Arabidopsis thaliana: one gene and its partners. The main gene of each other region encodes a partner of the protein of the gene in region 2 in a complex. Each region holds a gene or a part of one and is shown on either strand. Other genes may lie near its edges.

What was found.
Region 1: ERH3 (region 2) and AT5G08390 share a complex: the UniProt entries of both Arabidopsis thaliana proteins name them as parts of the KTN80-KTN1 complex.
Region 3: ERH3 (region 2) and AT1G11160 share a complex: the UniProt entries of both Arabidopsis thaliana proteins name them as parts of the KTN80-KTN1 complex.
Region 4: ERH3 (region 2) and DWA3 share a complex: the UniProt entries of both Arabidopsis thaliana proteins name them as parts of the KTN80-KTN1 complex.

Annotation. Positions count from the first base shown.
Region 1 is NC_003076.8:2,699,389-2,706,975, forward strand, and holds the start of AT5G08390 (Transducin/WD40 repeat-like superfamily protein), read left to right. Parts: upstream 1-1,570; 5' UTR 1,571-1,854; intron 1,855-1,930; 5' UTR 1,931-2,059; coding exon 2,060-2,087; intron 2,088-2,362; coding exon 2,363-2,493; intron 2,494-2,639; coding exon 2,640-2,757; intron 2,758-2,872; coding exon 2,873-3,099; intron 3,100-3,544; coding exon 3,545-3,647; intron 3,648-3,971; coding exon 3,972-4,042; intron 4,043-4,138; coding exon 4,139-4,213; intron 4,214-4,356; coding exon 4,357-4,500; intron 4,501-4,603; coding exon 4,604-4,946; intron 4,947-5,056; coding exon 5,057-5,578; intron 5,579-5,877; coding exon 5,878-5,937; intron 5,938-6,027; coding exon 6,028-6,149; intron 6,150-6,385; coding exon 6,386-6,520; intron 6,521-6,646; coding exon 6,647-6,721; intron 6,722-6,812; coding exon 6,813-6,925; intron 6,926-7,063; coding exon 7,064-7,180; exon of another isoform or gene 7,181-7,270; coding exon 7,271-7,339; exon of another isoform or gene 7,340-7,455; coding exon 7,456-7,522; 3' UTR 7,523-7,587. Other genes in the region: AT5G08391 (transmembrane protein, putative (DUF 3339)), read left to right, coding at 1-178. UniProt on the Arabidopsis thaliana protein: May participate in a complex which severs microtubules in an ATP-dependent manner. Microtubule severing may promote rapid reorganization of cellular microtubule arrays.
Region 2 is NC_003070.9:30,204,795-30,210,080, forward strand, and holds ERH3 (P-loop containing nucleoside triphosphate hydrolases superfamily protein), read right to left. Parts: upstream 3,475-5,286; 5' UTR 3,257-3,474; coding exon 3,129-3,256; intron 2,898-3,128; coding exon 2,426-2,897; intron 2,095-2,425; coding exon 1,897-2,094; intron 1,728-1,896; coding exon 1,483-1,727; intron 1,408-1,482; coding exon 1,249-1,407; intron 1,164-1,248; coding exon 1,076-1,163; intron 987-1,075; coding exon 705-986; 3' UTR 520-704; downstream 1-519. Other genes in the region: AT1G80360 (Pyridoxal phosphate (PLP)-dependent transferases superfamily protein), read right to left, coding at 3,942-4,394, 4,469-4,577, 4,653-4,818, 4,898-5,054, 5,146-5,205. UniProt on the Arabidopsis thaliana protein: Severs microtubules in vitro in an ATP-dependent manner. Required for oligomerization of functional KTN80-KTN1 complexes that catalyze microtubule severing. This activity may promote rapid reorganization of cellular microtubule arrays.
Region 3 is NC_003070.9:3,731,255-3,739,103, forward strand, and holds the start of AT1G11160 (Transducin/WD40 repeat-like superfamily protein), read left to right. Parts: upstream 1-1,829; 5' UTR 1,830-2,151; coding exon 2,152-2,176; intron 2,177-2,542; coding exon 2,543-2,673; exon of another isoform or gene 2,674-2,869; coding exon of another isoform or gene 2,870-2,899; coding exon 2,900-3,017; intron 3,018-3,172; coding exon 3,173-3,399; intron 3,400-3,484; coding exon 3,485-3,587; intron 3,588-3,727; coding exon 3,728-3,798; intron 3,799-3,934; coding exon 3,935-4,009; intron 4,010-4,096; coding exon 4,097-4,240; intron 4,241-4,316; coding exon 4,317-4,476; intron 4,477-4,993; coding exon 4,994-5,470; intron 5,471-5,557; coding exon 5,558-5,746; intron 5,747-6,071; coding exon 6,072-6,128; intron 6,129-6,221; coding exon 6,222-6,961; intron 6,962-7,062; coding exon 7,063-7,176; intron 7,177-7,265; coding exon 7,266-7,340; intron 7,341-7,424; coding exon 7,425-7,537; intron 7,538-7,640; coding exon 7,641-7,757; intron 7,758-7,847; coding exon 7,848-7,849. UniProt on the Arabidopsis thaliana protein: May participate in a complex which severs microtubules in an ATP-dependent manner. Microtubule severing may promote rapid reorganization of cellular microtubule arrays.
Region 4 is NC_003070.9:22,562,862-22,570,519, forward strand, and holds the start of DWA3 (Transducin/WD40 repeat-like superfamily protein), read left to right. Parts: upstream 1-1,633; 5' UTR 1,634-1,923; coding exon 1,924-1,948; intron 1,949-2,240; coding exon 2,241-2,371; intron 2,372-2,466; coding exon 2,467-2,584; intron 2,585-2,791; coding exon 2,792-3,018; intron 3,019-3,113; coding exon 3,114-3,216; intron 3,217-3,359; coding exon 3,360-3,430; intron 3,431-3,769; coding exon 3,770-3,844; intron 3,845-3,934; coding exon 3,935-4,078; intron 4,079-4,185; coding exon 4,186-4,348; intron 4,349-4,875; coding exon 4,876-5,313; intron 5,314-5,408; coding exon 5,409-5,666; intron 5,667-6,004; coding exon 6,005-6,061; intron 6,062-6,152; coding exon 6,153-7,339; intron 7,340-7,524; coding exon 7,525-7,638; intron 7,639-7,658. Other genes in the region: AT1G61200 (homeobox-leucine zipper protein-like protein), read right to left, coding at 172-299, 472-559. UniProt on the Arabidopsis thaliana protein: May participate in a complex which severs microtubules in an ATP-dependent manner. Microtubule severing may promote rapid reorganization of cellular microtubule arrays.

The DNA of each region.
Region 1 (7,587 bases), on a different chromosome or scaffold from region 2:
GATACTCTTCGTGATGCTTACGCCAGGGCTTCTGTTTCAGTTGCCGGGACGACAAAAGTACGTTGAGTTTGGTAATTTTCAGACAAGCGCTGTCTCCGTTATCGTCCATTCTCTTCTCTACTTCTCCCTTGTTTGCGTCTTCCTTCTCGCACTCAAGATTCACATCTACATCGGCTAATTCATTAGTTTCATCCCTCTCTGCGCTGTGTTTTCCAAGTTTTCTTTAAAAACTAGTTAACCTTAAATCATTTGTTCAATATTTTAATTCCAAATGCTCTTTCCCATGGTCCATTAATCCTTTGTATCGATCGGACCCTTTTGCTTTAATTATGTGTTTACCTTTTCTCTTCTTGTAAACACAAATACTATTATGTTTTAAAATAATCATTGCATTAATTAGTTACCTTATTATATACTACTATGTGAATTTAATCCCGAAAGATGAGTAAGTCTGCCATTAAAGCTGGACATTCGATTATTTGATTGCACGCTAATGAATGCAAATACTCCAAGCAGTCATGAACAAAAAAGTAGTCTATATATACATGTGTGTTGAAGTAATATGCATCTTGAATGTGCAATTCAAATGAGCCAATCACCCTGACGTGTAAACTCGGTTATTCTGAATATAGAAAACCTGATTCTTTGCTTACTAAAGAGTTAAAAGACAAAAACTACACCTACATGCAATCATACATTACATCGAATGCACATATGAGAGAAAAAAGTTGAGACAGAACGAAACAATGGATCTAATTAATGCTTAAAATCCATTTGAACAGAATTGGATATATGAAAAACAGAAGCTTCCTTAATAAAAGTAAGTACTGAACAATATGCATTAAGTACAAAACAACACTACCTAGACAAACAAAGGTTTAAATTTACAACCCATTACAATACAAGAACTTCAACCAACTAAGAGTAGGACCTAAGGAAGATCATAATTTGTTAACAGGGATCCAAAATATCTTCTTTGTTATCATTATCTTCAAATCGTAGCTAGTCATCTTCTTTCTCCTCATGAGTGTCATTAATCTCATCAAGTTCCTCCGTCTTTGAAGACGTAGGTCTCCTAAACCAAGTCACCAAACCATATTATCACCTAAAAAGCAAGAAAACGTTTGTGTTTAGAAGAAACACACACACAAAAAAAAGGACAACAGAGAATTTGTAATGCATAGTTTAAAGGGTATGCTACATTCTACATATCCTCTTATAAAATCTCGTATATGTTGTCAGGAAATTTAATCGGAACAAAATTCAATTTACAAAACCTAAACCGATTAGGAAACCAAAACAAACCGGTTATCGTTCTTCTTTACGACAATCACCTATTAATAATTGCACTAGAGCACCGACAAGAATTTCAATTAGGATAAAGTATAATTTAGATTGGTATGTTTTTAGTTTGAATTTATAACTGAATCAAATATAGTTCTAACAATTTTCAGGAATCAACTTTTACTTTAGTTTGGTCTGTTTGAACTCGGTAGATTAGAAATGTTACGTTTTTGCCAAAATAAATGATTTTTTTTTTGAAAAAATGAGTTTGGAAATTTGAAAGAGAAGAAGAGGTAAGTAAAATAATAAAGCAGCTCCCTTTCTCTCTCTGCTTCCTTGTGTGTGTCTGTGTGTCATTCACATCTCCCTCCTCTCTTCTTCACCATTAGAGGAGAGAAAACACACTTTCAAATATATATATAAGTATAACTCATCCAACAACTCCATTTTTATCTTCTTCGTAAAGGAAACAACGACGTTTACTCCAAGATACTGTTCCTCAATCTGCATTCTTTTCCAATCGATCTAAATTTGGTTTCTGTGCTGAGATTGGCTTTCTGGGTGTTGCTGGTATGCTATAGTTTCTTCACCTCTTCGTATGGATTGGTTCCCCATTTCGTTGTTACTGATCTATTCGAGATTTCAGATTGCAAATTGCTGTTGACAAGCTGAGATCTTAAGGTGCTTTTGCAGTAGCTGAGATTTTTCGAGGTTTTTGTCTGTTCGTGAGTAGAAGAATTTGGATGGTCGCCGATGTAAGGGTTTCGTTTCCGCTATGAACACCAAGCGCGCCTACAAGCTCCGTATCCTTTTCTCTCTGATTTCATCTTTTAGGGTTTGTTTATTTCTGGGACTTATTGATTGACTCCAGTGTCGTGCTTGATCTGCTGCTTTTTGCTCTGGTTCACGAGATCTGTATGCACTTCGTAGCTTTGTGTTTTGAGTTTTTTCAAGTCATTTATGACATTTCGGTATCTGTGTGCTTCTAAATTTATAAACTTTTAGTCAATTTCTTCTTTGACTAGAGTCTCATCCCAGAGTATTGCTTAGCCTTGACTTATGTGATACATTTTATAAGAGGAATTTGTGGCACATTCTGCTGCTGTTAATTGTCTTAAGATTGGGAGGAAGTCCTCCAGGGTTCTCGTTACAGGCGGAGAAGATCACAAGGTTAATCTATGGGCTATTGGTAAGCCCAACGCCATCCTGGTTAGTTCTCATTTCTCCCTCCCCTGCTTCTATTGCGGAATGCCTCGGTATATAGTTTAGGGGAAATGCGACATACTTTAGATATAATGTAGTTGAGCGGGTTGGAATATTTTCTGTCTGAGTACTTGTGGTTGTTTTGTGGTCAGAGCTTGTATGGGCACTCTAGCGGGATTGATTCAGTAACATTTGATGCTTCGGAAGGCTTAGTAGCAGCAGGAGCTGCTAGTGGTACAATTAAACTTTGGGATCTGGAGGAAGCAAAGGGTAAGTTCAGTAGCTCTATGAGCATCTAAATTTACTCTTCTCATTCTCTGTTTAGTCAGCCACAGCCGGCTCGTATATTTACTGAGTATGTTATTTTGGTTGCATCTTTGGGTAGTTGTCAGAACTCTCACTGGTCACAGGTCAAACTGCGTATCCGTGAATTTTCACCCTTTTGGTGAGTTTTTTGCTTCTGGTTCTCTAGACACAAATCTCAAGATATGGGATATAAGAAAGAAGGGCTGCATCCATACTTACAAGGGTCACACTAGAGGGGTCAACGTACTCAGATTCACTCCAGATGGTCGTTGGATTGTATCTGGAGGAGAAGATAATGTTGTCAAGGTTTGTAGCTGCCTTTTTCCTTTCTTAGTATGTATTGGGGAGGAAAACTAGGGAGTCAACTTAATAGAATTCAAAATTTCTATTTTTTCGAGGATACTTTGAAGAACAATACCACATTTTGTGAAATAGGCATAAACTGGTTCTGAGAGATGGTAGTCAAAGTCTTGAACAAATATCTCAGAGTAGGCTCTTTATGTGTGGATGAGAACATGTGATTGTTTACTTTAATGATACCTCTATGCGGCTGACCTTACTATCCTAGGGGGAGAATTTTTCTTAGTGCTAAAATACGCTCATACTACCTGATCAACTTGGATACTCGTTATTCTTTGTTTCATCTCAGAGTTTGTACTGTTTACCGTAATTGTTTTCCTGAAAAGCAAGTAACCTGCAAATTTTGCTCTCTCTCTTAACGTTGGACTGATATGTGGGTTGCCTTCACCAGGTGTGGGATTTGACTGCTGGAAAACTTTTGCATGAGTTTAAGAGTCATGAAGGGAAAATTCAGAGTCTAGATTTTCATCCCCATGAATTTCTGCTGGCAACAGGTCTGTATAACTCTAAGTAGGGAAACTTCGTAACATTGAAGCTCCTAGTTTTTCGGGTGACATAGATTTATCACAATGATATGAACCCGATTTATTCTTAAAGTTAAGAGTGCTATAAGCAAAATTACATGTTGTAACTAACCCTGACATCATTAGATCACTGTAGCATCATCGTCTCTTTGTAACTCACAATTTTACAGCTTTCTCATATGTTAAGTGTTAGGATTTGACAGGAGAGAGACTTCAGTAGTGGATATTTCTTCTTATGGCATTGTTTTCCTTACTGTTCATTTGAATTATGTTTGTTTCTGCCTATGGTCTTAGGTTCAGCTGATAAGACTGTAAAATTCTGGGACCTTGAAACATTCGAGCTTATTGGTTCTGGTGGAACTGAGGTATCATGTGTTGTCTGTACTGCTTCTATTTATGCATTGAGTCGAATTATAAGTATTCGATCTTTAATTCAACTTTCTAATATTTTCATTTCTTAGACTACTGGGGTCCGTTGCCTAACCTTTAATCCAGATGGAAAGAGTGTGCTTTGTGGATTGCAAGAAAGTCTTAAAGTAAGTTCTTCAGGATGTCCCAGTTAGAAATATATGAACTTAACAAATTCCTCTTTTAAGGATATAACACTTACACTTACTCCTTTTAATCTGAATATACATGTTTGCTATCCTTTCTTCTCTAACTTCCATGCAAATTGTAGATTTTCTCATGGGAGCCAATAAGATGTCATGATGGAGTGGATGTTGGATGGTCAAACTTGTCGGATATGAATGTTCACGAGGGAAAGCTTCTCGGTTGCTCATACAATCAAAATTGTGTAGGCGTTTGGGTTGTAGACCTCTCGGTATATCTCTCTCTCTCTCCCCCTACATGCTTTGTTATAGTTTGGCCTGTACCATACTTGTTATCTCTAAGCTCTCCATTCAATTTTCTAATGACACTCTCAGCGCACTGAGCCTATGAGTGGAGGCGCCACTCAGTCAAATTCTCATCCAGAGAAAACATCAGGCTCAGGCAGAGATCAAGCAGGTCTGAACGATAACAGCTCAAAGGTTATTCTCGGAAAGTTGCCTGGTTCCCAGAAAGTGGATCCTTTATTGAAGGAAACAAAGTCTCTTGGAAAATTATCAGTTTCTCAAAACTCGGATCCGTTGCCAAAAGATACAAAGTCTACTGGAAGGTCATCAGTATCTCAAAGTTCAGATCCTTTGGTAAAGGAACCAAAGCCTCTCGGAAGGTTTTCAGCTACTCACAGCTCAGACACAGTAAAAGAGTCAAGAACCCTGTCATGTATGTTTTTACTTTGCTCTATTTTTTCTTTCTCTTTTCACTTTTTTGTTATAATTTTGCTGCTTACTAAATGATATCACATCTTTTGGTTTGTCTGCTGTTTGTTGAAGCCACAGGAAGTGTATCAGACTCTCCTCACAGGGTTACTTTGACCAGTGCTCCAAAAAGTGCTTCTGGTATTTCTACAGTTGTCCCTAATGCTGCAGCCTCAAAGAGAAATTTTGGAAAAGCTAACCCAAAGGCGAATCCTCCAGTAGTCAATAAAGAGGATTATTTTCCAGTAATCGTCCCCAGAACGGAGCCAATAATTGAGCAGGCATCTGAATCCAGAGCAGAACTTGACATTATCGGAAGAACTATGCCATATTCGCTGCAGTCAAAGGCCGCTGATTCTCGAAGGCTGTCGAGCAGCAGAAATGAGCCAGATCTACCAACCAGTTCGCTTCTTGAAAGGTCTCAGTCTCAACCTATAGAACCAATCACTTTACAAGATGGGAATACATATCCTAGTGACGAAGGTGGCTCCTGGGATACAGCTGAGAGAACAAATAAAGAGAGCAAATGCAGGGTATTTGGAAGGTTTAATTCAAGATCACTGGTGAGATCACCTCCGAGAAATCACGACGAAAACTGTATGTTTACAAGCCTTTCTAGTCTTCCTTTGTTTTAGAGCAAATATAAATGGCATTTCGTATTGCTAAGACATCGTGGCATCTTAAATCTGGAGAACACTTTTCTAAGTTTCTGAGGGACTTGGGTTTATATTTATGAGATCCTAGGAATCAGTCTTTAAGTATACATGTTGCTTGTAGTACAATTTGTTTCAGTAAAACAACTTTTTGTTTAGTTGGTCCTTCAATATTATAGATAGATGTGTCTGAGTTTTCTGGATGCTGTTCTCAGTTCTGGGCTAACTAACTCTTTATTCCAGCTGACTTGATTAGCTATAATGCAAATAGAGATTCAAGTCCTACTGAAAGCCGAAAAGGAGGTAACTCTTTCCCAACATTCGTTTTTTCTTTTGTTTTTCCCTTTTAATGTGCGTAAGAAAAGATTCTAATTGTGTGCCTTGACATACTAGGAAGACTGCATTCCCTCGTTCTAAATAGGGAAAGAAGAGGAAGATTTTCTAACTTTGAGGGTCCTGTTTCGAGTTCTTCTGGTGGAAATATGACTGCACCAAACAGTCGCCCTTCCAATATGGTAATGGCTTTTAATTTTAGTTTTCTTTTTAATTTGGGATCTGAGACTATAAAATAGAAACTGTAAAAACGAAGAATGAGGAAGGACAAAATAAAGAGTGACGAGTAATTAGTCAGATGTCAGATCCTTTTCATTAGAACTCAATTTCAACTGGGCCTGCATCTTCAGCGTATTGGCAGACATAAAATTTCCCAGTTACTACAGAGATACTGATGACATTACTTCCTTTCATACAGCTCAAGCAGAGAGGAAATCATGTGCCAGTTGATCAAGGAATCACTTCAGCTAGCGAAGAAGATATAGTTGCAGACATAATGGGGCAACACGATCAATTTGTCAGCTCTATGCACTCTCGTTTGGCTAAGTTACAGGTAACAGCATGAAAGTACACTATGATAATGCTTTTGGTCTGTTTCCTAATTAGAATGCTAGCAGTAATCCTTCATAGGTTTCCATAAACATTGTTTATCTTCTAAATAATGTCACCAAATTTGCAGGTCGTCCGTAGATATTGGGAAAGAAATGATATTAAAAACTCGATAAGTTCAATAGAGAAGATGGCTGATAATGCTGTAAGCAACTTCTGTTTGTTTCCTTTCAAATCCATGTATATAAAAACACCACGTAAACATTTTCCACTTCTCATTATTTCATTTGGTACAGGTAATTGCGGATGTACTACTTATAGTAAACGAGAGACCTGAGATTTTGACACTGGATACCTGTACCTCTCTTCTCCCCCTTTTGACAGCTCTTCTAGGGAGCAACATGGATAGGTAAGCAAGTCATTTTGAAGAACATAATGACATGGTTATCTATTAAACTATGAATCTGTAGTATTTTGTTTTTGTTTTATAATTACCGTCTCTGTAGTATTTTGTTTTCGATTTCTAATTACCGTTTCATGTCTCTAGTCATTTGAGTGTCTGCCTTGATTTGCTGCTTAAGCTGGTAAGAATGTATGGGTCACAAATTTACTCGTCGCTTTCCGCTCCCTCATCTGTTGGTGTAGATATTGAGGCTGAGCAAAGGTTGGTCCGAGCTTCAATCTCACCATTCATTGTCGTTTTCGATTGCAATTTACTCTCTTTGGCAAGTCAAATATGATTTTTGCTATTCAGGATGGAGCGGTACAGTTGTTGCTTTGTCGAGTTCGAGAAAATCAAGGCTTGCCTTCCCTCTTTAGCAAGGTGGGTAAATTTCATCTACTGGACAATGAAGAGTTAGATGGTTATCTTCTCTCTTTTTTTGAAGTCTATTATCTTATGTCTTATATATATATATATATCTCTTTATGGATATGTAGAAGAGGAAATTTGGTGGCCAAGACTCTCCATGAACTCAACTTAACATTTCAAGAAGTTTCATCGTGATACTTTTTGGATGTGGATTTGGTTCCAATGTGGAGTTTAACAGTACTAAAGCCTAACTCTACCAA
Region 2 (5,286 bases):
TGTCGGGATTAGAAAGGAACAACTGAACAAGTAACGAAGAAGGATGAAGTGTAAAGATTTGATTGGAGGCATGCAGAGATATCATGTTCTTCGCCGTCTCTACGGAAATATACTATATACGTCACCTCGAAAACATATATTGATCGATCATCGATGATCACATATTCATATGATAGAATTGTATTTATTTTGTTTGTAGACGATATGATATATAATCACGTAGACAAAATTGAGGAGGGAGCCCAACGATGCAGGAACACTCTCGAAACTGGTCTGATGATAAACGGTGCTGCCTTGTCTCTTTACATTTTCATCAGTTAAAGGGTAACATATATAGTATTTTATATAGCACGCAGTGAAATTTTTGGTCAACGATAGGATGATGTTTCAATCCCTATCATTTACAAAATATACAAATACTTTCAAAATGATTGCAACGTATTGGAGATACAAAGACCAAGGTGATTCTTTGCTGGTTTTTTTCTTCTAAGACAGTAAAGAAATTATGAACACTAAGTCTGAAGCCAAAAAACCGAAGAAAATCATATAATCCTTTTCTTTTTTCGTAGAGGTTTACAAGTTTGGAATATAGAAACATAAGAATATGTTAAATGACTGGCAAATAATAATAATGATACAATAAACAACAACACACAAGAAAAGGCACACATCTTTTGACACTAAATTAAAAAAAGTGGGTTTAATTAAGCAGATCCAAACTCAGAGAGCCACTTCTCGTGTTTCTCGATATCAGAGGAAGACACACTCGGTTGCACTTTCCTAATGGCCTCTTCGAAATCACACATTGCCACTGGATCATTTGATATATCGTCTTTCGACATGTTCTTTATCTCATCTCTCGTTTTCCCCGCTATCTTACGCCGCATCCCGTTCATTGATGCGTCCCTGCACACGTTAGTCAGATCGTCTCCACTGTACCCTTCCGTTCTCCGGGCCACATCTTCAATGTTAACATCACTCGCCACCTGAAAAGTGACAATGTTCATTGCTAAATTGATTGCGTTGGACCAGTAGAGAGATTTGCGAGTGTTGTAACAATGTATCCACAACTAACCTCAACTGTTCTCAGATTGATATTGATAAGAGCCTTACGACTTTCAAAATCTGGAAGTGGGATATATATACGTTTTTCCAACCTCCTCCTGCACCAACGTGAGCTCCAGAATCAGCAATTTCATTATATTAGAGCAAGTCTAAAGACGGCATTAACTCAAAGAATATTTAAACCTGAGAGCTTCATCTATGTCCCACGGGAAGTTGGTAGCTGCCAATACCATTACTATTTTGCGACTACCATCTTCATTTGTCGCTGTATTGCTCACTCCATCTACTTGAACTAGGAGTTCCGATTTCACCCTTCTTGATGATTCATGCTCTCCAGAACCCCTGCATCACACCTCCACCAATTACAAATACTTTTCATTTCAGTATCGAAATCTCAGTATCGTCAGGAAAATTTACCCCCGAGAATTGCAGAGAGAGTCGATCTCATCAATAAAAATTGTGCTTGGAGCATATGCCCTAGCCAGATCAAACAGGCATCTGACCATGCGCTCACTCTCTCCACGCCATTTTGAAGCTAATGTAGCAGAAGATACATTGAAGAAGGTGGTACCACACTCAGTTGCAACAGCTTTTGCCAACAGGGTTTTACCTGTCCCAGGAGGACCAAACATGAGAACTCCTTTCCATGGTCTTCGAATACCCTGAAGGGAAACAAAAACAATCAAATTAAGTATCCTCTATACCTGGAAGATCAAATATAAAGTCTACGGAAATGATGAATTGAAACTGTTATTCTGTATGATTGCTCCATGTCTAATAATAGTAATATAGAATCCAAATTTCACAGCGTATGGAGCAGAATCAAAGTACCTGAAAGTATTCGGGCATCCATAAAGGAAGGACAACTGCCTCCTCAAGCAGCCTTTTGGCTTCAGACAAACCTGCAACATCATCCCAACGGACACCAGGAGTTGAGTCCAACACATCCCTTTCAAGCATAGCAGCCAGGTCCTCATCAGGTCCCTCATACAATCCCCTTTTTGACTTCCCATCTTCAGCATCACCATTCTGATATCAACGAGGAAGCCGAAAGTTTTATTAGTTGTTGAAAATAGGTGGAAACTACCGACTCAACATAACCACAGGAAACATGGCCATGACTCTAAAGTTTCTAAATACAGATTTCAGAATTAGACATTCATAAACGTAACAGAAATCATGATCTTTGATACATCAGTCCTACTATAACATAACAACTTCGAAGTTTCATGACATCCTGTCTATCACCAAAGTAAAGTAATGGAAATGGAAATGCCATAGTCAATATTGATTGATGGAAAATTTTCAAGTTTAACCTTCTCTATTGTGCAATACCAAAAGGCAAAAACATATAACTTACCATAGACTCAGCCTTGTTAGATTTTGAGGCAGCTCCCTTCTTTCCGGCAGTGGAAGAGCGGGCACCTGCAGTTGACTTACTAGTAGCCCCACCTCTGCCACCACGGGAAGCTGGACCGGTCCGTGTAGTAGGGCCACGAGCCCAAGCCCCATCTTGAGGTGATTTTCTAGTACCAGTTTGACCAGCCCTGGCGGGTCTTCGACTAGTAACATCACGGGTAGGAGGCCTCCACACATCAGGATCATCCATAGGACCACCACCGGATGAAGTTGGATACTCATCCAAGGGCTGAAAAACAAAGGATGATTTGGTATTGATAGGTGGAGAAGCAGCGCGACGCCCAGTGGGAGCTTCTTTAAATGCTCTCCTCTCTGCATCCAATTGCTTCACAACTTCCGTCTCTTCCATTATGGCCTTTTTAACGTTCATCCATTTGGTCCGGGCCAAAGGATCGTCAAGGGTGTTTAAATGCCTAAAACAGTATACCATAGCTTCAGAACCACTAACGCAGCACATAAGAGTGTTCTATCTCTGTCTACACAGACATTGCACGGTGAACATTGCAAAATTCTAGATTTTTCTAAGCCCATTTCAATACAATCCAACACGAAACTATTAAAGTAGCTTAGGGCTTGAAGAAATTGCCAAAAGGGGTGACAAAAAAGCTAGATTCAAGACTGGAGAGATAAGAGGAGCTACTTACTTGTTGATCTGAGCAATGGCGCCATCGAAGAAGATGACAGATGTGTCATAGGATCCTTCTAGTGCATATTCTCTCGCTAATTTCAAGTGGTCTTGTAGACCCGCTAACGAATTACTACTTCCCACCATTTCCTCTTTTACTAAAAAAATAGCCTATTCCAAAACAAAATCAAGGGTTCCGAGGCAAGAGCTTCGATCTCGGAGAACCCAAATTCTCCTTCTTTCTCCCTCTCCGGCTCCGGATTTCGGAGATGTGACTCGTCGGCGAAGATGGAAGACAAAGTAGAAGAAGATGGAAGCCACGTCGATGGTAGTTATGATCCAACCTCTCTTTCTTTATTCGGGTTCGATTCAAATATTTTAGATTCGGGCCCATCTACGGCCCACTTTCAAACCAATAAAGCCTAAAATCATCATCGATTTTAACTTTATTTATCCTCTGGGTTCAGAAATTAAAATTTCAAATAAAAGGCCAGATTATCAATTTCTCACAAGTCATAACGTCAATCATAAGACTCGAATTTAAATTTTTGAATTTAGAGAAAGACTCATAACGAATAAAGCTGATCCAGTTTTTGCTTTTGCATTCATTGCTGGATTATTCATTTGAATAAGTAAAGAGTATATACATACACCAAAGGGGTTAAGGATTCAACCATTGGTAACAACATCCCAAATACAATGACTTTGTAAAGAAGAATCAGCTATATTGATTATTGAATAAACAAACACTCTTTTATTTCTTTTTAAAACAACTATATAGCTTCAACCAAACGCAAAGTAACCATCTTTTGACCCTTCTTTAAACAACGTCTCACTCCACCATTCCATGGTGAAGCAGCTCCTCTATTCCTTTCCTCAGCCTCGCCGCTGCAGCTCTCATTTCAACCTCCTGCAACCCTCCAAAGGAAACCCGGAGATACCCGGGGCTACCACTTGCACACCCCGGGATCACCACCACACCATGGCGGTGAGCCAGCCACCGCACCACCTTGAAATCATCTCTGTGTCCCTCTGGCAGTTTTGCCCACAGGTATATCGCTCCTTCTCCTCCCTTAACGTTCTCCTTCCCCAGCGGCTCAAGCGCCTCTTTCACAATATCCCTGTTCTTCACTAGACTCTTTACCCGTTCCGTTATCCACCCAGAACCTTCCTCTAATGCGTATACAGCCAGTCGCTGCGAGATTATGGCAGCACAGATTGGGATGTTGTCCTGAATTTTCACAAGCTCTGTTGCAAACCCATCTAATCTCTCTGAGTAAGCTATCTGCAGGTCCATCAAACCTTTTTATAAGACAATCCCAGTGTTTAGTTTGGAATAGAATTGAATCGAGCACTCACATATCCAAGCCTCCAACCCATCATGCCATAGGTTTTAGAGAAAGAGAAGACATTAACAATGTGGTCTCCCTCAACGCAACAATGTTTTAAACCGTCATACATGAAATACCTGCGATTTTCAAATCCCCGCTTATTACTACATTCAATTTGGACATCATAGGAATTAAGGAAATGAGAAACTCACTCGTATGTGTTATCTACAATCAGCCAGCACCCTGCATCTTTGCATATTTGAGCAATCCTCTTAAGCAGCGGTTCAGGGACATAGGTGCCACTTGGGTTACCAGGATTCACAACAGTTACAACTTTCGGAGTCGGTTTAGACTCAGACAGTGTCCTCTCTAACCAGTCTGGAACAAAAATGATTCACTGGTCACAACTAAAGCTATGTTAAGTCATGAAAAACGTGATACAGAATCAAGGAGGTACCAGCGTCAGGATAGAGAGTGTCTGACTGGCCAGGACCAACAATTATGTTGGTGACTCCTGTCATCTGAAAGGCCATGTAGGAGTTGAAGTAGTATGGCTCAAACATGACAACCGAATCACCAGCATCACATAATGTAATAACAAGGTTCACAAACGCCTACATTAGATGCAAAAACAGAAACAGAGTATGAGAGTAGAAGAAAACAGAAGGAAGAGCAATCAAAAGAGTAAACAAAGACAGGTTATACCTGATTGGCACCTGCAGTAACCATCACTTGTGAATTGGTTAGCTTGTTTTCTTCACGCAGCTTCAGAACAAGACAAGGAATCAAAAATAAAACAAGCTCAGTCACGGAATTGGATTCAAGAGCAGCAAAAGTGGTCACTTT
Region 3 (7,849 bases), about 26 Mb from region 2:
CTGGTTCAGATCCGATGCATATTGACATGTGCACTCTGGATAATGGTTTGTGCATGTCGAAAAGAGAACCGAATACGTTGGTCCAAGAGATTTGGAGGTTGAAATCATCAGAAGACTCATGGGAGAAGATTTGTACTATAGATTTGCTTTCATGTTCTTCTTCCCGGACTCAGTTTCGTGATGAATTTTACTGGGACGAGCAGGATTTGGTTAATCCATCCACACCTGTGGCGTTATGCAAGAACAAGACAATTTTGCTCTCACATCGCTATTCCCGCGGTCTGCTAAAATATGATCCCCTAACAAAGTCTCTAGCTTCATTTTACCAACGTCCTTTGTCTCGGAGAAAAGTTTCTTATTTTCAAAGTTTAATCTCTCATATCTAAACAAATCTACCTACTGATTTTGACGTGTTTGGAAGAGACGAGAAGAGCTTTTCTTAAAATATATACAGTATTGGGATTATACATGAATACTAGCCAAAACAAGAAGTTAGTGACTACTAAATAATGAAAGCAAAAAACAATCTAAAACTATTTTACTATATCACATAATAAAATTGTACTTTTCAATATTCATAAAGTACGTTTGAGTTGATTTCAGATTTTATGTCAATCAATCTGTGGAAGTAACAAACATTTCTTATCGAAATAAATGATCTTCTTTTTACTTCACCAAATAAAGTCGTTGATTGGGATTGACCCTTATTATGCAAGAAAACTTAAAACACCAAAACATGGGAAGCACTTAGATCATGTTATGCTCTTGTCCAAAAGAGAGACAAATTATAACACGGGAACTAGAGTAATAATTTATAACTATAAAAAAACAATTTAATACAATACAAGCAAATGTCACATATCATAAACCAGGAGATCTTCACCAAATATAACTTTTACAAACCTTGATTCCGTGATTATCTTTTTGGGTTTTTATAATGTGAAAAAAAAATATCTTACTACTATATGATTACATTTTGGAAGTGAGAAAACAGTTGACCAAAAAAGTGTGAACATTGTATTGAACGTTTAAACGCAAATACATGTGTCGTAGGAACAAAAACACTCAAACACAAATATTCAAAACGTGATTAACAGTTGTTAAATCAAACTTCAATCAACCTCTTCTTTCAGATCAATTAATCTACCCACAAGGCCACAACCAAACTTTGAAATTTTCATTGTCTTTTTTTTTAGAATCAAGAAGTGGTAGTTAATTAGTCATTTAGTATGATCTAGTTGTAGTAGATTGTATCCGTGTATTATTGGTTATACGAAAAATTCAATGTGGTATAAAATTCAATATTAATTCAGGCCGTTGAGTTGGTTATATTAAAATGGAATTAGTTGACGAGTATTTTATTTATTTCAATCAAGTTGTGTGATTGACATCTTAAAAAAAGTGTTAAAACGTATTGCGATTAACCAGTAATACTTGTTATTTTTCTTTTTCGTCAAACTGAACATAGTACTTTTTAACTTTGTTTTTTTTTTTTCCTTTCCTGTTACTCAATCATGATAAAAACAATATTTTAAAACCGACAATAAAAAAACAAAACAATATTTTAAATTTGTAATCCGTTAGTTGTGACTTGTGAGTGCTATATTTATATTTAGGTTGATTTATACGTGTAGTAGAAAAGGAAGGGTATTTTCGTCAGAAAAAGTAACGACGAGGGTCCAATATTCTGAAGTTTTCAACGATTTGTGTGTGTATTATTCTCATCATCAATGACATAAATAAACAAAATAAAATAAAACATAACAACCGGAAATGTGTTTTTTTTTTTAATAAAGAATTGAAAATGACAGAATCTGAGAAAAAGGACGAAAAATTCGTCGCTTTACTTTTTTTTATCTTCGTCTCTGTTTTGTTCGTCTGCTCGTGCCACTCTTTCAAAAAATCTCTTCTTTTCTTTCTAAGTTCTTCTTTAAATCTCTAATCTCAGCAGGAAGCAATCTCTTATGTCTCAAGTTTCTATTTTCCGAATCTCCCAGAAATCTTCAACTCTGTCTTGTCGTCTAGTCACATTTTGAATTTTTAAACCAGCTCCGACATTTTTTTGTTTTTAATTCTTTTCGATTCATAACAAAGGCTGGTGATTTGGCTTCAGCTTCCTAGTCGCATGAATCTACTGAAATCGAGTAGAAAATGGCGAAGCGTGGATATAAGCTACGTATCCTTTTATAGTTCTTCATTGGTGCTATATTATTGGAAACTTGTAACCTGAATAACAAAAGATACAAACTTTAGCTACATATTTGATTTATTTTCACCCCTAACTTTAGAAATTTGATGTTGTTCATTCACTGTAGCGTTAGGGTTTATCTGCATTGGTGGGGTTTATGTTCTTTTTTTTGTTGGTAAATTGTTATTTGAGATTTTTCATGAAAATGTTCTTCTGGGTTCTAATTTCTGCCTCTGTCATCTTAAAAACCAAACCGAGTTCAGATGATAGAAGAGACATTGTTATCTCTGTTTGTCTTGACTTTTTCTTTCGTTCTGGATATGAATTTTTCTTGACTTGGATTTGGAAAATTAGAGGAGTTTGTGGCACATTCTGGAAATGTGAATTGTCTAAGTATCGGAAAGAAGACGTCACGGCTCCTTCTAACAGGTGGAGATGATTATAAGGTCAACCTTTGGTCAATCGGCAAAACCACTTCTCCAATGGTCTCTTTCACATTTCTCTCTTTTTTTAATTTGTTCATTCTCGCTGGTCTTCATTTGCAATTTCTTATCTGGTTTCAAGATTTGCCACTTATAGCTATAACTACAGTTATTTCAGCTAATGTGTATGAAAATGTCAAAATTGTGGTCCCTCTTGGTATAAAGCATGTAACATCTTGTTTCTCTTCATAGAAGAGTGATGATATTTTATTTTATGTGTTGTTGGCAGAGTCTTTGTGGGCATACAAGCCCGGTTGATTCAGTAGCTTTTAACTCAGAAGAAGTTTTGGTACTCGCTGGGGCTTCTTCAGGTGTGATAAAGCTGTGGGATCTAGAAGAATCAAAGAGTAAGCTGATTAATTTTCTCTTCTCATATATTATCCCTAGATTATATTAGAGGCACTCACACTTGTTATTGTCTGGACGAATTATAAGTCCTGTGATGGATGGTTAGTTTCAGATAATGAGGTCTAATATTTTCACTCTTGCTCTTGAAGTGTAGTGGTTCGAGCTTTTACTGGACACAGATCCAATTGTTCTGCTGTTGAGTTTCATCCATTTGGTGAATTTCTTGCATCGGGATCTAGTGACACCAATCTAAGGGTTTGGGATACCAGAAAGAAGGGATGCATCCAAACATACAAGGGTCATACTCGCGGCATCAGCACTATTGAATTTAGCCCTGATGGTCGTTGGGTAGTGTCTGGAGGACTTGACAACGTTGTAAAGGTAAGAACAGCAGTAACGACAAGTGCATTGTTTTGTTCCTTAATGATTGTTCTTATAACAATGTACTCTTTATTGTACTCAATAGGTATGGGATTTGACTGCTGGAAAGCTATTGCATGAGTTTAAGTGTCATGAAGGACCTATTCGCTCCCTAGACTTCCATCCGCTGGAGTTTCTCTTAGCCACTGGTGAGTTTTTAGCTTTTCTTTTCATGTGTTTTAGGGCTGAATTGGTAGCAGCTTTCTTTTAGTTGATAAATTACTGTTTTGCATCCACTAGGTTTGTTTTGAGGTCTTCTGACTTCATATACCACCCTTTCGTAATTCAGGTTCTGCTGACAGGACTGTGAAATTCTGGGATTTGGAAACGTTTGAACTGATTGGAACTACTAGACCAGAGGTACCTGAGCTTGTGTTTTGTTATTAATCTGTCCTGTTTAGCGTTGGATTCACTTTATAGTCCATAAGATAAGACTTAGTTTTACTTGCACTATTGTCAACCTTCTTCCTGGCATGTGGTGTCCTTTGTTTTCCAGGCTACTGGAGTTCGTGCAATCGCTTTTCATCCAGATGGTCAAACCCTTTTCTGTGGATTGGATGATGGCTTGAAGGTTCTGATTGTCTTTGTGCTCAACTATACAACTTAGATGATGTCCAGAGTCAAACACTGATATTATAAGTTCATGCACATAATGCAGGTTTATTCATGGGAACCAGTGATTTGCCGGGACGGTGTTGATATGGGATGGTCAACACTTGGTGACTTCTGCATCAACGAAGGAAAGTTTATTGGTTGCTCATATTACCGAAATTCTGTTGGGATATGGGTTTCAGATATATCGGTATGTAACCGAATGTGAATGTCCATACCTCATGTGAAAAACTTAAACTTGTATTAAGTTCGTGTTTGTTTCTCAGGAACTTGAGCCATATGGAGCAGTATCTGAGGATAAGAATGAATGCATGGTGAAAAGATTTAGTGTCTTGAATGATCAGTCTGAGAGAATGGGAAGTGGCCCAAGGGGCAGCGTATCCCCAGATTATGAGACAAGAGAGATAAAGAACATATACGTCGACTGTGAGTGAATGTTAATTATGTTTTTATGTTCATTTGCTTTGCAAGTGTGGTATGGCAGATATATGCTAGGCCTTCATCTGTCAGTATAAATGACCTGTGATGTAAGAGGTTATCTAGTTGCTATCTTGGCACCTGGATGAATGCTTGAAATGGTTTTTGACTTAGTCAGAAGTGTTTTTAATGTAAACCATTGCAACTGTAGTAGGAACTCTTGTGATCAGCAACACAAAAAGGTATCTAGACTTTAAGCATGTTGTCACAATATAGTGCTGTGAACTCTTTTGTTTATACTTAAAAATTTTGTAGGAATTGAAATGAATGAGTCCAAAATGCAAATCGCAGTATTCGTTATTGTATGGAACAAAGTAGTCTTTAGACAATAGTTGGGGGAGCTGACATGTGATTTTTTGGCTTTGATGTCTGTTTCTTGGCCAGATCAACATAATATTTCTATGTCATTCACTTATGTGGGCTAATTCCTTATGTTTGGTCTGATTTGAACTCTCTTTGTTTAAAGCCACAGGTGGAAATTTGAATGTAGCGCAAAATCCAGGATCTCTGAAAGCGACATTGCCTTTGGAATCAGGAAAAGTAGCTACTATGGTGAGCGAGAAGCAGAATGCAGCATATTTTGGACCAGCAGGAGACAAGTATTCTAGTACATCGCGGGATAGTGATAGTGGAGAGGAATCTTCTTATTCAGAAAGGGAATCTATCCCTTTCTCAAGAACGAAATCGGGCATGTTGCTAAGACCAGCACATGTAAGAAAGACGCTAGCAAAGTTTGAAGAATCAAAACAGTCAGCGGTTGTTCAATCTGCAACTCGAAAGAAAAGCGGATTGGCTGTTGAGGAGGAACCACAAACTCAAAACGCGTTTCTTTCAGAACAGAATGCTAGTAAACCTTTTGATGCTGAAGATTCTATCATCAAGGGTATTACTAACAAGTTTGAAAAAGCTTTATCATCGGAACCACCAACTGATGAAGCGAATCGTAGGTTCCCTGTTCTCAGACTTTAGTTTCATGTAGCTTTCAGATATTTTAATCTATCTTTTGAATATCTCTGCAACCTTGCCTCAGGTATGTTCCTTAAACCACCTCGTATCCATAGGTCATCAAATAGCAAGTACAATGACACAAGACGAGCAATGTCTGCTGATCCGGCAACTTTTGGCAAAGGTGGGATGGAGAACTCAGGAGACGTAGAGGATATTCCCAGCAAAACTGAAAGAGTTCTTTCACGAGAAAAACCTGGCGATGAACAGAAAAGTAAGTTCTTGATTCAAAAATTAAAACTGACTAATATATGGCCATTTTTTCTATTAAAGCAAACGCCAAATCTTATGCAACCTTAATGTGACTGGCTTTGTGTCAAATATGAGTGAACAAAAAGACAGCCCACGATGCCAAAAGACATCTATTAGGAAGAGCTACTAGACTATATCTAGTTACTATAGATTGCTACTATCTAAATCTTTAGCTACTGTTAGAACTTGCTTCGAATTCTTCATCATCCGTAGTCTGTGGTTCACGTACTTGGTTTTGAGACAATGATCAATTAGTAATTGACCGGTATAAAATTTCTGTTCTGTAGACACTGAGTACCCTAGCGGCAGCAGAGAATTGAACCCTGTGAAGATTGTTGAAGGAGGTTAGGAATTTAAAACTTTTGCTGTTTCTGTTTTTTCTTCTTAGCATTTAAGTTGGCTGGCTACAGTTTCCTTATAAATTGATATGTTTACAGTAAATGTTGTCTCGGGGAGGACACGCTCCTTAGTTGAGAAGTTTGAGAGAGGAGAAAAAACTACTCATACTGAAGGAGCCAGTACAACAATAGAACAGAACAATAATGCAGTGCAGGAAGATCCGCGTAAGACATCAAGACAGACAGGTGAAACTCCTGTCATATCAACACGACGAGCTAGGAGTACTCCAGCCAGAGTGATGCCTATTGTTCTCAATCGGGATAGTAACGTGACATCTGATGAGCCTCCTTTAACACAACCAGCTAGGACTTCTTCATTTCCAGTGATGCCTGTGATACTCAATCAAGCTTCTAATGTCACATATGATGAGCCTTCTGTAGCGTTAACACAAGAATCTAGAACTTCTCATGCCCGTATATTGCCTGTGACATTCAATCAGGCGACAAATATTACATCTGAGGAGGCTTCTGTAACATTAAGGCGCCAACGCAGGAATTCTGCAGCACGAGTAAGGCCTGTGTTACTCAGTCAGGCAACATCTCATGAGTGTCCTGTAACATCAGTACGTCCATTAAGGACTTCTCCAGCCCGTGTAATGCCCACGAAACTAAATCAATCTGTTAACATGACATCTGATACATCTCATATAGCATCCATGCACCGAGTTAGTCCAACACAAATGTTGGCTACACCCACTGTGATTGATCAAGTGGCTGATATGACATTGGATGAGACACATGCAACACAAATTCAACCAGCTTGCGATAACATGCCTCAGGTACTTTGCAATGATTAGCCTAGGCAACTTATTTTTTACTTTGAAAGAGTACTGTATACATGACAAACGTAATTGATTGTTTGGTTTGTGGCTTTGTGCAGAAGGAAGAGCCGAATATATCTGATAGGGAAGATGATAGTGACATAACTGAAAATCTTATGCTAACCCATAACGAGTTCTTAAGCACTCTTCAATCGAGGTTGACAAAGTTACAAGTAAGCATTCTTGCTTCTTTTCTGTTCTTTTCCCTGACCATTATTTGTTTTAGTATTAGTTTGCAAGTGGTTGACTTCTAAACATGCAGATTGTAAGACATTTTTGGGAGCGTAGCGATGTTAAAGGCGCAATTGGGGCATTAAGAAAACTGACAGATCAGTCTGTGGGTATCTCAGATTCTCGGTAGATTACTTTTGTTTTTGATGTTTGTATGTTTAGATAAGCTAACTCATAGATGTTGGGACAGGTTCAAGCAGATGTGATCAGTATTCTAACTGAAAAAATAGAAATTCTCACATTGGATATGTTTTCTCAATTGGTCCCTGTCCTCACAAGCTTATTGGGTAGCAGGACAGAGAGGTAAACATATCATACCAAATTTCCACCTTAGACCATATTTTTTTGCTTCTGAGCTATAACGATTTCATGACTTGGTTTCTAAATGAGAGTAACGACTGTGCAGGCCGGTAAATGTCTCCTTGGATATGCTCTTGAAGCTTGTAGCAGTGTTCGGTACAGTTATACGCTCAACTGTTTCAGCTCCACGGATTGTCGGCGTTGATCTTCATGCAAATGAAAGGTATTTGAGCTAACACCACTCTCTGGAATCTCATTTAGTTTGCTACGCTGATTCTCATTCACCAATAAAAGTAAATAAACCACAATGCAGGC
Region 4 (7,658 bases), 7.6 Mb from region 2:
GTTAACACACGTTAATTAGTTTCCATTAATACTCAAAACGACGTCGTTTCATTAAAATAAAAGAATCAAAATTCCCAAATTGATTTCAAAATCCCTAAATTCCAAAAAATCCTTAATTCCTTAATTCCTAAATTCCAAAAACCAAATCCTTAAATTCTAAAAACCAAATCCCTAACAGCCTCTTATTTTCAGCAAGTGGTCGTCGTAATAGTCATCGTCGTAGGGATCCTCAAGGGAGCTAAAGAAAGGCCTTCGCTTTGATGTTTCCTCCTTGTTCATCATCGATCTTGTTCCTCCTCCTTCATAAATTCAAACGAACAACTGCTGTCAATAGTCAATGTTGTTATTCATATTCAAATTGGTTCTCATGTGTGTGTGTTCATCATATTTTATTCACAAGACAACAAAACAAAACAAAAACAGGGAAACTTCCAACATGGTAAAATAAGATTATGAGAGTGAGAAAAGAACCTTGGACAACGGGATTGAGATTCCTAAAGAAGAACATGTTGTTGCCATGTGAAGCAGATGGATTGAAGAAAAACGAATTGGATTCCATTTTGGAATTTAGGGATTTTGAAATCAATTTGGGAATATTGATTCTTTTTTTTCAATGAAACGACGTCGTTTTGAGTATTAACGGAAATTAATTAACGTGTGTTAACGGAACTAACATATCCATTAATGAAAGATAACGGCATGGGGATTTTGGCCTGGTCAACAATAACATTTGTGTGAAATGATCGGTCAACGTTTTTATTATGTTTTATTTAGCCACACAAAAAGTTCACGTATTAAATGACCACTTTTTGAAAGTTCGCGTATAAAACGACATTTTTCCTCTTCTTAAAATCATTTTACTTCATGATCCGGTTATTGGTTCTACTCACGCATCTTTTTTTTTTTACTTAACACATCTTTATACACCAAGATGTTATCTATTGGCACAAGAAGTTAAATAATAAAAAAATAAAAACTGATTTGTCTGAATATGAAATGTTGTCGATGTAATGAAACGGCTCATAAACTAGCAAAATTTGGTTGTTTGAATTCCAGTTCCTACATTGATGTAGCTAAACCGCTACTTTGTCTTGAACAACAGTTGAAATTGAATTATTCAAGCTCAATATAATTCCATTTCGTCAAAAAAAAAAACACACAATTATCATCATAATCTTCTTCTTTTTTTAACGTCAGTTAGCATCCATCATACATCTATGGATTGAAATTACTATAATTCATTCCTAAGGTTGAAAATGTCTTCAAGAAACAAACAAAACCAAGAGATGATGACGTGTTGCCTCACCAATCAAATAATATTTTCGACAAAAGAAAACTAACAAATTATGATGGAGTTGGAGAAAAAAACTGTACCAATAGAAGTCAATTGGAAGCAAGGGTTCTTTTCGTAATTTCCACTCGAATTCAATGCCCGGACAAAAGGGTGTTTTCGTCAGAACCGAGAAGAACGAACAACGAAGAAACTAGAGGTCCACTGTCCAAGAAAAATGCTTAATTATATTTTTAAATTTTTTAAAAAATTAAAAAACCTACCGACCGATTAAAAAAAAAAAAAACTTTCTTCGCTTTATCAAAATTTCTTCTTCTTCTTCTCTGTTTCTTTCTTAATTCTGCTTCGTGTCACTATTTGAATCTGATTTCGTCTCGTTTCTTTCAATCTTCTTCCCCGAATCTGATTCTCTCTCACGTTTTTTGGATTTCAAATCTCAACGGAAAGCGATCTCTTCTCATATCCCTCCCTTTGAAATCTCCCTAAAATCTCGACCTCTGTCGTTTAGTGACAATTCGGATTTTTGTAGCTCCGATTCACCGTTTTAAATCGATTCCGGAAGCTACAGATTCGATTCCAGATTCAAATTTCTATTTCCCCCTCACGGATTCGCTGGAAAATCGAGTTAAAAAATGGCGAAGCGTGGTTATAAGCTACGTATCCTTATATTGACGATTTTGAGAAATTTTAACAGTTTCTTTATCACTGAATCGCTTGGGGTTTATTTCATAAACAAGCTTTGGTTTATTAGCTCTTCGTCAATTTGGTCAAAATGTTTCTATTATTGTTTGCTTAATTAAACTGAGAGCAAATTGATAGAAAAAGACACTGCAATTAATATGTTTGTCTTCTCCAATTTTTTTTTTCTGGATATGCTTTGAATTTATTTTTGTTGATATGTTATTCTCTGTGGGTTTGTTTATAACTTAACTTGATTTTGGAAACTTAGAGGAGTTTTTGGCACATTCTGCAAATGTGAATTGTCTAAGTATCGGAAAGAAGACATCACGGCTCTTTATAACTGGTGGTGATGATTACAAAGTCAATCTTTGGGCGATTGGCAAGCCTACTTCTTTAATGGTTTGTTTCACATTTGCTTTCTTCAGTATGTCTTTGACAGAAAATTTGTGTTTTATTATGGATAGAAGAATGATGCTATAGCCTTTTATTGGCAGAGTCTGTGTGGACATACTAGTGCAGTGGATTCAGTAGCTTTTGACTCCGCTGAAGTTTTGGTACTTGCTGGAGCTTCTTCGGGTGTGATAAAGCTGTGGGATGTTGAAGAAGCAAAGAGTTAGTTTATTGATTTTCTGCTCTCCTTTGTTTTAGAATATTTGTTGCTTCTTTTATGTTGAGCTAGTGTTGTTTAATGGGAATATATTGGATATCATTTGAGTTATCGGCTATGTGGATTATGGGTTTGGTTATTTGAGCAGTGTACCAGACTTTTAGTTTAGAATTATGAGGTCTAACATTTTCACTCTTGCTCTTGAAGTGTAGTGGTTCGAGCTTTTACTGGACATAGATCCAATTGTTCTGCTGTTGAATTTCATCCCTTTGGTGAATTTTTGGCATCGGGATCTAGTGACGCGAATCTAAAGATTTGGGACATCAGGAAGAAGGGATGCATACAGACGTACAAGGGTCATTCTCGTGGCATCAGCACTATCAGGTTTACTCCCGATGGTCGTTGGGTAGTCTCCGGAGGACTTGACAATGTTGTAAAGGTAAGAACAGCATTTTCAACAAATGAAGCTTGTGCATCATATTTTTCAAACTTATGATCTTAGAACGATACTGCTATATATGTTGTATCCAATAGGTATGGGATTTGACTGCTGGAAAGCTTTTGCATGAATTTAAGTTTCATGAAGGACCTATCCGTTCGCTAGACTTCCACCCGCTTGAGTTCCTCCTAGCCACAGGTTAGTCTGTGATTCTTTGTTTTTCAGGCATTATAGGGGTAACTTGGTGTCGTTTTCGATTGGTAGATTAACTACTGACATTTCCTTAATCACAGTTTTATATTGAATTCTTGTGATTTCACACTCTCCCTATTCATATTCAGGTTCTGCTGACAGGACTGTAAAGTTCTGGGATTTGGAAACGTTTGAATTGATTGGATCTACCCGACCAGAGGTACTAGCCTGTGGTGTCACTAGATACTGTTTTCTAGGGGACTCTATAACAAGTGTTTTTTACGTTTATTTCCTGTTAGCGTGATCACCTTGAAGGGAAATCTCACACATAAAAAATATCAGAAATCTGCTTATTCTCGGCCTTGATCTGAAGAGTGTGTTAGAGAAATGCCAAGATAAAATTTAGTTCTTAAAAAGATTTAGAAGTAAATAAAAGTGAACGGAGTCCAGAAAGCAGCATGTGATGAAATATGTTTTGGCGTTGAGCTAGCTTTGTAGCCGTCTCGGAAGATGTTATTCACACAATTTATGTGGTATGTGGTTTTCCTTGTTTTCACAGGCTACTGGAGTTCGTTCAATCAAATTTCATCCGGATGGGCGAACCTTATTTTGTGGTTTGGATGACAGCTTAAAGGTTTTGATTTTCTTTGTGATGAGCTTTACCATATAAAGGGTTCTCCAGAGTCAAAAACATTGATATCATAAGCTGATGTTCATAATTCAGGTTTATTCATGGGAACCTGTGGTTTGCCATGATGGTGTTGATATGGGATGGTCAACGCTTGGTGACTTATGCATCAGCGAAGGAAAGCTCCTGGGTTGTTCATACTACCAAAATTCAGTAGGGATTTGGGTCTCAGATATATCAGTATGTCAGCTATTGTGATTTTCCTCTAAAAATTTATGTCCGAGCTGGTAAATAAGTGTTTTGAAGGCTCATGTTTTTGTTTTTTCTTTTATCCTTAATTAACACAGCAGATTGAGCCATACGGCATTGGATCTGCGGATAAAAAAGAGTGCGTGGAGAAAATACTCAGTGCTCTGGATGATCAGTCCTTCGATAGAATAAAGAGTACCCCAAGGCGCAGCTCATCTCCAGATTATGAGACGAAAGAGATCAAAAACATATACATCGACTGTGAGTGAATGTTAATTTTGTTCGATGTTTGTAGATTCAGTTTTCTACCTTGAACTTATTGAAGTTTCTCGTTTTAGAGTAGGATATGGCAGGTTTTTGGTTAGGTTTTGAGAAGTCCCTGGGCGGTAGCTTACTTATTACTCTCAACCACCTATATCTAGAAAGTGAATCAACATTTAACGATTAGTTGCAATGGACTATTAGCAGAGATCACTGACTCTGGTTTTCTTGTATTAGTGATAGGAAAGCTACCTTATCTTTAGGCCTGCTCTAATCATATATTTTCCGTGCATGTGTTGGTGTATATTCCTAAATTTTGTACCTATTGAAATTGAATGAGACTGAAATGGTGGTCGTCGTTTCTGAATAAATTAAATATCGCTAGCCATAACCACTGTGTGACCTGGACTGTTATTTTTAGTCTTTAATGTCAGTTTCTGTTTTGCGACAGTGTAAATTTCATTTGTCTCTCACTTCTGTATGCTTATCGTTTATATTTGGTTTAATATTCTCTCTTCTCTTCAAAGCTACAGGCGGAAATTCGGCTGTTGCACATAAGTCAGGATCTCTAAGTACTCCAGCAACTTCTACTGGACAAGCAGGGGATAATAAGTCTTTAGTAGTGCATAGTGTTGTTCCACGGGATAGTGATATTGGGAAAGACTCTTCTGATTCAGGAAAGGAATCTATCACTTTCTCAAAAACAAAGCCAGGCATGCTGTTGAGACCGGCTTATGTAAGAAAGACGCCAACAAAGTTTGATGAAACAAAGAAGCAGTCAGTGGCTGTTGGATATCTAAAGAAAAGTGGATTGGATGGTGAGAAGAAACTAGATACTGAGACGGCGTTTGATTCAGAAATGAGTGGTAGGAACCCATATGATGCCGACGATTCTATCATCAAGAGTATCACCAACAAGTTTGAACAAGCTTTATTACCAGAATCACCGACTGATGAAGCAAAATGTAGGTTCTCCCAGTTCATACCTTAGTTTCATTAGATTTGAGCGTTCAGATGATCTAATCCTATCCTTTTGGAAATCTTGCAATCTTTGACTTAGGTATGCTGCTGAAACCGCCTCGTGTACAGAGATCACCAAGTACTAAGTACAATGAGGCAAGATGGGCGACATCTACTGATTCTGGAGCTTTAGACAGTAAAAAGAATGGGTTAGAGTCCTCAAGAGACATGGACTTGCCAACAGGGCTCAGGGATGACAGAGGTAGTAACCCATGTGAGGAAGATATCGAGAACAAGAGCATTTCAAGTAGGTCAGAAAGAGTTCTGTCACCAGAAAAAGCTGGTGATGAACTAAAAAGTAAGTTCCTGATTCAAAAGTGGCGTAGACTAATTAATGGGGATTTTTGCTTCTAAAGCCAATGTTAAAACTAGTGAAACGTTATGTGTTTGGCTTCCTTTCACCTTTTAAAACTGTTAATTAAGAAGAGGTATTAAATTAAAGACCGTCTACAAGAAAAATCAATCTGGAAAAATGAGCCGGCAGAAAAGTAATAGCATTAGCTTGTAGGTTTCTACATCTAAATCTTTAGCTACTTTTAGGGCTTCCTTAACAGTTTTCTTGTCAGTTGTGGTCAAGAGTCTCGGTCTTCAGGCAGCAATCATTTTATAATTGGTTATGAATATTTTGTCATGCAGGCCTTGAATCCCCTGGAGGTAGCAAAGAATCAAAATCTGTGAAGGTTGTTAGAGGAGGTTAGCCATTCAAAGTTTGCTGTCTTTGTTTTTCTTTGGTAGGATATGCGTCATCTGGTTATTGATTCTTTAAAAACTGCTGTGTTTGCAGTAAAAGTTGTTTCGGGAAGGACACGGTCATTGGTTGAGAGGTTTGAAAGAGGAGAAAAAATTACTCATTCTGAAGATAAAGCAGCCAGTGCAACAGTAGTTCATAGCTCTAATTCTGTAGAGGAAGAGCCCCTGACAGCATCGGTACAGACAGTTAGCATGATGCCTACCCAGGTAATGCCAGTTAAACTTGATCAGGCAACTAACTCGACCACAGTTGACGTTCCTGTGTTATCAACACGACGAACTAAGAGTACTCCAGTCAGAGTAATGCCTGTAGTACTCGGTCGGGACACTAGCATGGCAACTGATACGCCTCCTGTAACATCAACCCGACCTGATAGGACTTCAGCTACTAATTTGACATCTGATGTGTCTGGTGTAACATCAAAACGACAAACTAGGACTTCTCCAGCCCCCGTCATGCCAATGATACTCAATCAGACAACAAAAATGAAATCTGATGAGCCTTCTATAACATCAACATGGCCTGATAGGACTTCGGCTACTGATTTGACATCTGATGTGTCTGGTGTAATATCATCACGACAAACTAGGACTTCTCCAGCACCGGTCATGCCAATGAAACTCAATCAGAAAACAAAAATAAAATCTGATGAGCCTCCTATAACATCAACACGGCCTGATAGGCCTTCAGCTACTAATTTGACATCTGATGAGTCTCCTGTAACATCAACACGACAAGCAAAGACTTCTCCAGCCCCAGTTACGCCTGTGATACTAAATCAGCGTCAAACAACTAACATGAAATCTGATGAGCCTCCTGTAATATCAACAAGACCACTTAGGACCTCTTCGGCACGAGTAATGCCTGTGATACTCAATCAAGCATCTACCACGTATGATGAGCGTCCTTTATCATCTTCACGATCGGCTAGAACTTCTCCTGCCCGTATAATGCCTATGAAACTCAATCAAGCAGATAATATGCCATCGTATGAGCCTCCAGTTGCATTAACACGATCAGCTAGGAACTCTCCCGCCCGTGTAATTCCTGTGAAACTTAATCAAGCAACAAATGTGACAGCTGATGCATCTCATATAAGATCCAGGCAAAGATTTAGTCCAACTCAAACGCTGGCAACACCTGCAGTATTTGATCAGGTGACTGATATGACACTGGATGAGACTACAAAAACTCAACAATCTTCTGATATCTTGACCCAGGTAAGCTTCAATTAATAAGTTTTGGAAACTAATAGACAGCGTACTTTCTCCAACTTCGAAATGTAGTTTGTTGTATAATTGAATATAGTCGCTGATGCTATACAGAAAATATGAAATTGCTAGGATTACAAAGTTGGAAGAGCTCTGAATACATAACAAGTATTTGATTTGTTTGGCTTTTGTAGAAGGAAGAGCCTCAGATATCTGGGAGAGAGGATGATGGTGACATTTGGGAGATTTTAATGCGAACTCATAGTGAGGTCTTAAACACTCTTCAATCACGGTTGACAAAATTACAGGTAAATTTTGTCTCTGCTAT